Xenopus tropicalis: one gene and its partner. The protein of the gene in region 1 purifies or fractionates together with the protein of each later gene. This does not show direct contact. Links are inferred from orthologs where the notes say so. Each region holds a gene or a part of one and is shown on either strand. Other genes may lie near its edges.

Evidence for each region. Proteins that work in one complex are often made in the same cells at the same time.
Region 2: the proteins of anapc2 (region 1) and anapc11 purify together in Homo sapiens (affinity purification with western blotting; 7 studies listed by BioGRID and IntAct, with this or other methods). This does not show direct contact. The link is inferred for Xenopus tropicalis from reciprocal best matches to the Homo sapiens genes ANAPC2 and ANAPC11.

Annotation. Positions count from the first base shown.
Region 1 is NC_030684.2:1,703,698-1,707,781, reverse strand, and holds the start of anapc2 (anaphase-promoting complex subunit 2), read left to right. Parts: upstream 1-1,284; 5' UTR 1,285-1,394; coding exon 1,395-1,478; intron 1,479-3,502; coding exon 3,503-4,084. UniProt on the Homo sapiens protein: Together with the RING-H2 protein ANAPC11, constitutes the catalytic component of the anaphase promoting complex/cyclosome (APC/C), a cell cycle-regulated E3 ubiquitin ligase that controls progression through mitosis and the G1 phase of the cell cycle.
Region 2 is NC_030686.2:27,902,867-27,906,814, forward strand, and holds anapc11 (anaphase-promoting complex subunit 11), read left to right. Parts: upstream 1-1,148; 5' UTR 1,149-1,172; intron 1,173-1,314; 5' UTR 1,315-1,321; coding exon 1,322-1,430; intron 1,431-3,413; coding exon 3,414-3,559; 3' UTR 3,560-3,673; downstream 3,674-3,948. UniProt on the Homo sapiens protein: Together with the cullin protein ANAPC2, constitutes the catalytic component of the anaphase promoting complex/cyclosome (APC/C), a cell cycle-regulated E3 ubiquitin ligase that controls progression through mitosis and the G1 phase of the cell cycle.

The DNA of each region.
Region 1 (4,084 bases):
ATTTGGGGGTACAGCCTGGCTAGTACATTTGGTTGGGGGCGGCCTAGTACACTGGGAATAACTAGTACACTTGGGGGTACAGTCTGACACAAGGGATAACTAGTACACTTGGGGGTACAGTCTGACACAAGGGATAACTAGTACACTTGGGGGTACAGTCTGACACAAGGGATAACTAGTACACTTGGGGGTACAGTCTGACACAAGGGATAACTAGTACACTTGGGGGTACAGTCTGACACACACAGGGATAACTAGTACACTTGGGGGTACAGTCTGACACACACAGGGATAACTAGTACACTTGGGGGTACAGTCTGACACACACAGGGATAACTAGTACACTTGGGGGTACAGTCTGACACACACAGGGATAACTAGTACACTTGGGGGTACAGTCTGACACACACAGGGATAACTAGTACACTTGGGGGTACAGTCTGACACAAGGGATAACTAGTACACTTGGGGGTACAGTCTGACACACACAGGGATAACTAGTACACTTGGGGTACAGTCTGACACACACAGGGATAACTAGTACACTTGGGGGTACAGTCTGACACAAGGGATAACTAGTACACTTGGGGGTACAGTCTGACACACACAGGGATAACTAGTACACTTGGGGGTACAGTCTGACACACACAGGGATAACTAGTACACTTGGGGGTACAGTCTGACACACACAGGGATAACTAGTACACTTGGGGGTACAGTCTGACACACACAGGGATAACTAGTACACTTGGGGGTACAGTCTGACACACACAGGGATAACTAGTACACTTGGGGGTACAGTCTGACACACACAGGGATAACTAGTACACTTGGGGGTACAGTCTGACACACTGGGTTACAATATGGGTACAGCCTGGCACCCATAGGGAATGGTTAGTATTTTGGGGTACAGCCTGGCACCCATAGGGAATGCTTAGTATTTTGGGGTACAGCCTGGCACCCATAGGGAATGCTTAGTATTTTGGGGTACAGCCTGGCACACACAGGGGTGAAGTAGGGGGGTACAAGGCAGTACATAAGAGGGGGAAATCGCTTACACTTGACCAGCTCGTTGTTGTAAGTCTGAAGGGCGGCCCCCTGTTGGCTCATGTCTCCCCGCACTCAGCCCCAGCTCCCGGCCCCGGACCCGCTCAAATCTCCAGCCGGCAGCTCCCTCCTGTTTGTACCCACACGGACCCAGGCAGCCTATCAGCGCTGCAGAATCTACCCATGTGACCAGACCTACAGCCTACGTGATGGCGTCATGGCGTTCCGTTGTCTTCAGCGCGTCTCTGGTCTCCATGGTTATGGGAGTCCGCTCCCTGTCACTGTCATTACTAATGGCCCCGGAGTGACGTCACTACTAGGCGCCCGCTCTCCCCTCAGCCGGCGGGATGTCTGAGTGTAGCCTGGAGCAGCTGTCTGCGGCTTGGAACGCCTTGAGCGTCGGGCTTGTACCGCCCTCCGCCTTGGGCCTGGTAAGCACCGACTGGCACCCTACCCCAGGCACCCCTACATCTCCCATAGAGCCCCCTCACCCCCTCCTGTGGCACCCCTTACCCCAGTACTACCCCAGGCACCCCTACATCTCCCATAGAGCCCCCTCACCCCCTCCTGTGGCACCCCCTTACCCCACTCCTACCCCAGGCACCCCTACATCTCCCATAGAGCCCCTCACCCCTCCTGTGGGCCCCCTTAACCCCACTCCTACCCCAGGCACCCCTACATCTCCCATAGAGCCCCTCAACCCCTTCTGTGGCACCCTTACCCCACTCCTACCGCCAGGCACGCCCTACATCTCCATAGAGGCCCTCACCCCTCCTGTGGCACCCCTTACCCATCCTACCCCAACCCTAGCATCTCGCCAAGAGCCCCTCACCCCTCCTGTGGCACCCCCAGCTCATCCTACCCTCCCCAGGCACCGAGAGCCCCACTCACCTCTCCTCCTGTGGCCCTACATCCCCATTACTCCACCCCCTTCTGTGGCAACCCCTTAGCCCACTCCTAGCCCAGCACCCCTACATCTCCATAGAGCCCCCTCACCCCCCTCTGTGGCACCCCCTTACCCCACTCCTACTCCAGGCACCCCCCTACCCCACCTTGCTCTACCCCCCTCCTGTCGGCCCACCCCCACTCCTTACCTCCAGGCACCCTAACATTCCCATTAGAGCCCCCTCCCTCTCCTCCTGAGGCACCCCCTTACCCACTCCTACCCCAGGCACCCCTACATCTCCCATAGAGCCCCCTCCACCCCCTCCTCTGTGGCACCTTCTCCCCCGTTCCCCTCCTACTTCTTTCCCAGTGGCACCCCTACATCTCTCCATAGAGTCCCCCTTCTCACCCCCTCCTGTGCGCTGTCCCCCTTACCCCACTCCTACCCCAGGCACCCCTACATCTCCCATAGAGCCCCTCCTACCCCCTCTGCTCGGCACCCTCCTCCCTTACTCCCCACTCTCACCTTACCATCCACGGCACCCCTACATCTCCCTCATAAGAGCCCACTCACCCCCCTCCTGTGGCACCTCCCTTACCCCCTTCCTTACCCAGGCACTCCCTACATCTCCCATCATTGAGCCCCCTCACACCCCTCCTGTGGGCACCCCCTTACCCCACTCCTACCCCAGGCACCCCTACATCTCCCATTAGAGCCCCCTCACCCCCTCCTGTGGCACCCCCTTACCCCACTCCTACCCCAGCACCCCCTACATCTCCCATAGAGCCCCCTCACCCCCTCCTGTGGGCCACCCCCTTACCCCACTCCTACCCAGGCACCCCATACATCTTCCCATAGAGCCCCCTCACCCCCTCTGTGGCACCCCTTACCCCACTCCTACCCCAGGCACCCCTACATCTCCCCATAGAGCCCCCTCACCCCCTTCTGTGGCACCCCCCTTACCCCACTCCTAACCCCAGGCACCCCTACATCTCCCATAGAGCCCCCTCACCCCCTTCCTGTGGCACCCCCTTTACCCCACTCCTACCCCAGGCACCCCTACATCTCCCATAGAGCCCCCTCACCCCCTCTGTGGCACCCCCTTACCCCACTCCTACCCCAGGCACCCCCTACATCTCCCATAGAGCCCCCTCACCCCCTCTCTGTGGCACCCCCTTACCCCACTCCTACCCAGCACCCCTACATCTCCCATAGAGCCCCCTCACCCCCTTCCTGTGGCACCCCCTTACCCCACTCCTACCCCAGGCACCCCTACATCTCCCATAGAGCCCCTCACCCCCTTCCTGTGGCACCCCTTACCCACTCCTACCCCAGGCACCCCTACATCTCCCATAGAGCCCCCTCACCCCCTTCTGTGGCACCCCCTTACCCCAGTACCTGGCACCCCTACATCTCCATAGAGCCCCCTCACACCTTTCTGTGGCACCCCCTTACCCCAGTACTGGCACAGACACCCCCTACATCTCCCATAGAGCCCCCTCACCCCCTTCTGTTCTATAAGGAGTTTATCTTTACAGATAATAAAGCTTTACCTACTTCCCTTTGCAGGCAGCACCCAGACCCAGCACGGGGGAGTCAGTCGTTGAAGCCCACCTTAAGAGCGCTCTAGAAGTCTTGCACCTCTATGACCTGCATTCCATGGTGGAAGAATGGTTCACGGAAGTTCTGCAGATGGACCTACAGAGGAACATTGCCCCAGAGTTCTGGAATGGAATCAACCAGCACGAGAATGCGGTGGAGGAGGAGCACTGCGCTGTGCTCTTATTGGACGCTTTTCGCCTGCTCGTGTCCCGCCTGGAGCCCTACCTGCGCAGCCTGGACATTCTCGCCAAGTGGATCGACACGGGGCTGCTGGGCTCGTCCGACTCCCAGATGCTGCGGGATAAAGTCTACACCATGTTCAAGGCCATCCTTTTCTTCTCCACCTCCAGCCACTTCCAGGACATGATCCAGCAGTTCTACAGCCGGACCTTTAAGATATACATGAAGCAGAGAAAGAGAGGAGACGGCGGCGGCGGCGGCGGGAGTGACAGCAGCATGAATGAGAATGAGCGCGAGAGCGACTCGGACGAGAGAGGCGCCGATGAGTGGCAGTGCCCGGGCTGTGAGAGCAGCAGAGACCAGTGTTGG
Region 2 (3,948 bases), on another chromosome or scaffold:
TCAACAGATATGGTCTGCTGCTTACCAGGCATGCTGATAGATTAGCAGCCATTGTCTTCTATTATGAGAATATTATGTGTCATTTTAAGTACAAAAATACTTGGATAAATTTACACAAAGATGCACCATTAGAGAAGACAATCAGAAATATGTCAAGTACTTTCAAGAAAACATAATTTCTGATCAAAAATTGGTACAAATTTTTTGTAATCGGACCTGTCTTACTTTAATGAATGTGCCCCTATGTGTGTTATGATCAGTTAAGGTCCCCATACACGCTACGGGCGGGCGATACCGGGGAGCGTTTAGGGCCAAACGATCGGATTATGTGGGCAGCAATGGGGCAGTCGGTTCGGGGACCGCATCAACGAGCCGATGCGGTCCCCGATCCGACTGAATTTTCTAACCTGGGCGATTGATATCTGCCCAATTTCAGGCCAGATATCGGTAGGCCAGGCCCCTCGGTTCTGCCCCTACACAGGCCGATAAGCTGCCAAATCAGTCCAAGGGACCCATATCAGCAGCTATAATCGGCCTTGTATGGGGACCTTTACAAAATTCTTTTGTTTAACAGGACTTAATATCTATCTGCTATCATTTCAGTTGAACTAAGTATTAATCTGTGTGTCGCTGACTCTTCGAGATAAACTGCTACCTGAGATTAAGGTATTATATAATCATAAAGGGTTTTAGGATAATTACGCCTCGGTAAAGCAGATCTGTGAGTTTGAGTTTTATTGCAATTCATATTACGTTCAATAAACGTGGATTAAACTAAAATAAAAATCTAGAATGATTACAATTTCACTTTGCCCTAGTTTGCACAAAACGTCTTCCCATTTGGGTCAGTTCGGGAGAGGTCTCTCTGATGGCACAAGCAGAAGCTCTGTACAGCCAATACAAATGATTTGTAAGGAGACTGGGAGCTAAGGTGCCACAAGCCATGGCGATAAACAACACAAAAGTCGTCTTTTCTGTTTTCAAACAATAGAAGGTGCGAGCAGAATAAGAACAGATTTTGATGAGAGAATGTACCGCAACCGAGCAGCACTTCCCTCTTATGTTACACCGATTGGCCACGCCCACTGGGCGGCTCCGTGTGCGTCACTGCGCTACGTGTAGTCGTAACGCTCGTCCTCTGTGAGGAGGCTGTAAGCATATTTGCAGGAGGTGTAAGTAGCGATATGGGTTTTATGTGTTTTTATTATGGGAGTGCAGGCTGTGTGTGGCCCTTAGCAGTTGCACATAGTGGGGCCTGTGCATTCTAGTTCATGAGGATTGTGTGCATCATTACAATATGCTTCTGTTTTCCAGGCTCGTCATGAAGGTTCGCTTGAAGTGCTGGAATGGCGTTGCCTCTTGGCAATGGGTGGCTAATGATGACAACTGTGGGATCTGTCGTATGGCATTTAATGGCTGCTGCCCTGAATGTGAGTGCTCAGAGGAGCATAGGCCTATGTACATGCCCTGTAATGGGGCTTACTACATGGCTTCATGGCCTGTGCCAGGGTTTCTATAGTCTGGAGCCCTTTACATTCTAATGAGGATCCCTTATGTTAGAACAGTTGTACATATTTAATCCGCTAGCACACAAGCCTGTGAGTGTTACATTGGAGATTCCTCGCTTCTTTACAAATGATTTTTGTTTCTCATTTTACTGTTTTTACTTGCTTGTTCTGAAGTAAGCAAGGCTGTAGGTATTCTGACTAATAGGGATATCCTAACATGACACCCTGCTATTCTGGCATTAGGTTTAAAATAAAGAACCACTTTAAAGGAGAAGGAAAGGCAAAGTCACTTGGGGGTGCCAAAATGTTAGGCACCCCCAAGTGACTTTAATCTCTTACCTTGTACCCCGGGCTGGTGCCCCTGTTAGAGAACAGCACCGGGGTAGCTGCAGCGCTTCCTTATTCTGCGGCAAATTCCCTGGCCCGGGGCATGCGCATTAGAGTGAAAAGCTGAACTTTAACAACAAAGTTCATCTTTTCACTCTAATTGCAGGGGGCAAACGCAGAAGAAGGAAGCGCTACAGCTACCCCGGGCTGGTGCTGTTTTCTCCTAACAGGGGCACCAGCCCAGGGTACAAGGTAAGCGATTAAAGTCACTTGGGAGTGCCTAACATTTAGGCACCCCCAAGTGACTTAGGCTTTCCTTCTCCTTTAAATCATTATGGCATCAAATAATATGTGGTTCCTTAAAGGAGAACTATACCCCTGGGCACAAAAAGCACCCATAACTATCACTGCCTAGACCCCCCCCCCCTCACCTCTCCCTTATCAAAGTTTTTAAGTTTAATGTCTGTCCCTATCTCTAACCAATAGCTAATAATGCAGAGGAGCGCAGCCGCCTACCTGCCCAACATCATCTTACTGACTGAAGACACTTTGGGTCTCTCCGCCGATACGAACCTGCTTGTGCATGCGCAGTTGGGGGTAACAGGAAATCCACTTCAACTGCACATGTGCAAGCAGGTTCGGTGTCTGCGGTGAGACCCAAAGAGTCTTCAGTCAGTAAGAAGGTGGTGGGCATTAAACTTAAAAACAATGTGATTAGGGAGAGTTGAAGGGGTCTAGGCAGTGATAGTTATGGGTGCTTTTTGCGCCCGGGGGGTATAGTTCTCCTATAAAAACATGCTGTTTCCTATGGCTTTATGCAGCTGACTTCTTTCTTGTCATGAGCAGGAGAGTCAAAAGAGCCTTAGGTGCCACTGATCAATATAAATGCAATTGGATCCAAGTAGGAAGCAGAGCTAGATAGGAGGGATGCTTGCCAACTGATGGAAGTTGTATTACAGCACAGGTAAACAACAAGGCAAGTAGGTAGGCAATGGGCAGACAGGGTAAACATGGCAAAGCAAGGCAGAGTGTACTATAATGCCTACAAGTAGTTAAAGGGATTGTTCAACTTTGAATTAACTGTTAGTATGATGTAGAGAGTAATATTCTGAGACAGTTTGCAATTGGTCTTGATTTTTTATTATTTGGGGTTTTTTAATTATTTCGCTTGTCCAGCAGCAATTCGGGTTGGGCTTTCAGTGGCTATATGGTTGCTAGGTCCCAATTTAACCTAGCAACCTTGCAGTGGTTTGAAAGAGAGATTGCAATATGAACAGAGGAGCCTGAATATAAAAATAAACAATAAAAAGTAACAAAAATAATAAAACTGTAGCCTCACAGAGCAATTGATTTTGACTGCTGGGGTCAGTGACCTCCATTTGAAAGCTGCAAAGAGTTAGCAGAAGGCATATCATTCAAAAACTATAATCTAAGAATAGACCATTCTATTACATACTAAAAGTTAACTTAATGGTGAACCACCCCTTATAACTTACTACTTCATATTATACAACACTGTTCTTCTCAGGACACCTATACGCCACTATACTTCAATGTCTCTCACTCTTGCCCTTGCAGGTAAAATCCCAGGAGATGACTGCCCATTGGTGTGGGGTCACTGCTCTCACTGCTTCCACATGCATTGCATCTTAAAATGGCTGAATTCCCAGCAGGTGCAGCAGCACTGCCCTATGTGTCGTCAGGAATGGAAATTCAAAGAGTGAAATGCAAAGATTTAGTTCCATGTAGTACCCATTAAGATTGTTATATCTCTTGTAAATATCATAGTTGTGCTTGTTCCCCCATGATCTTTTCCAATAAAAACAGTTATTACTGGATCATTTTTTTTAAATCTAAGTTGCACCATTGCTCCTGGCATGGCTATTGTTATTCAAATATTATGGCAGCTGAAGTCGCCAGAAAGGTGATCTATACACAGAACAGGATGGACCCCTTTGGAAGAAATACCATATTTCATAAAGTGTGCTGTTAACTAGGGATTGTTTCAACTACATACTGAGTCAGCCAAATGCTGGGATGTTTGCCAGTATACCAAATAGAAGCTTCGCTTTCATATTTAAATGTAATCTCAAGGGAAAGCATCTTCTCCTTT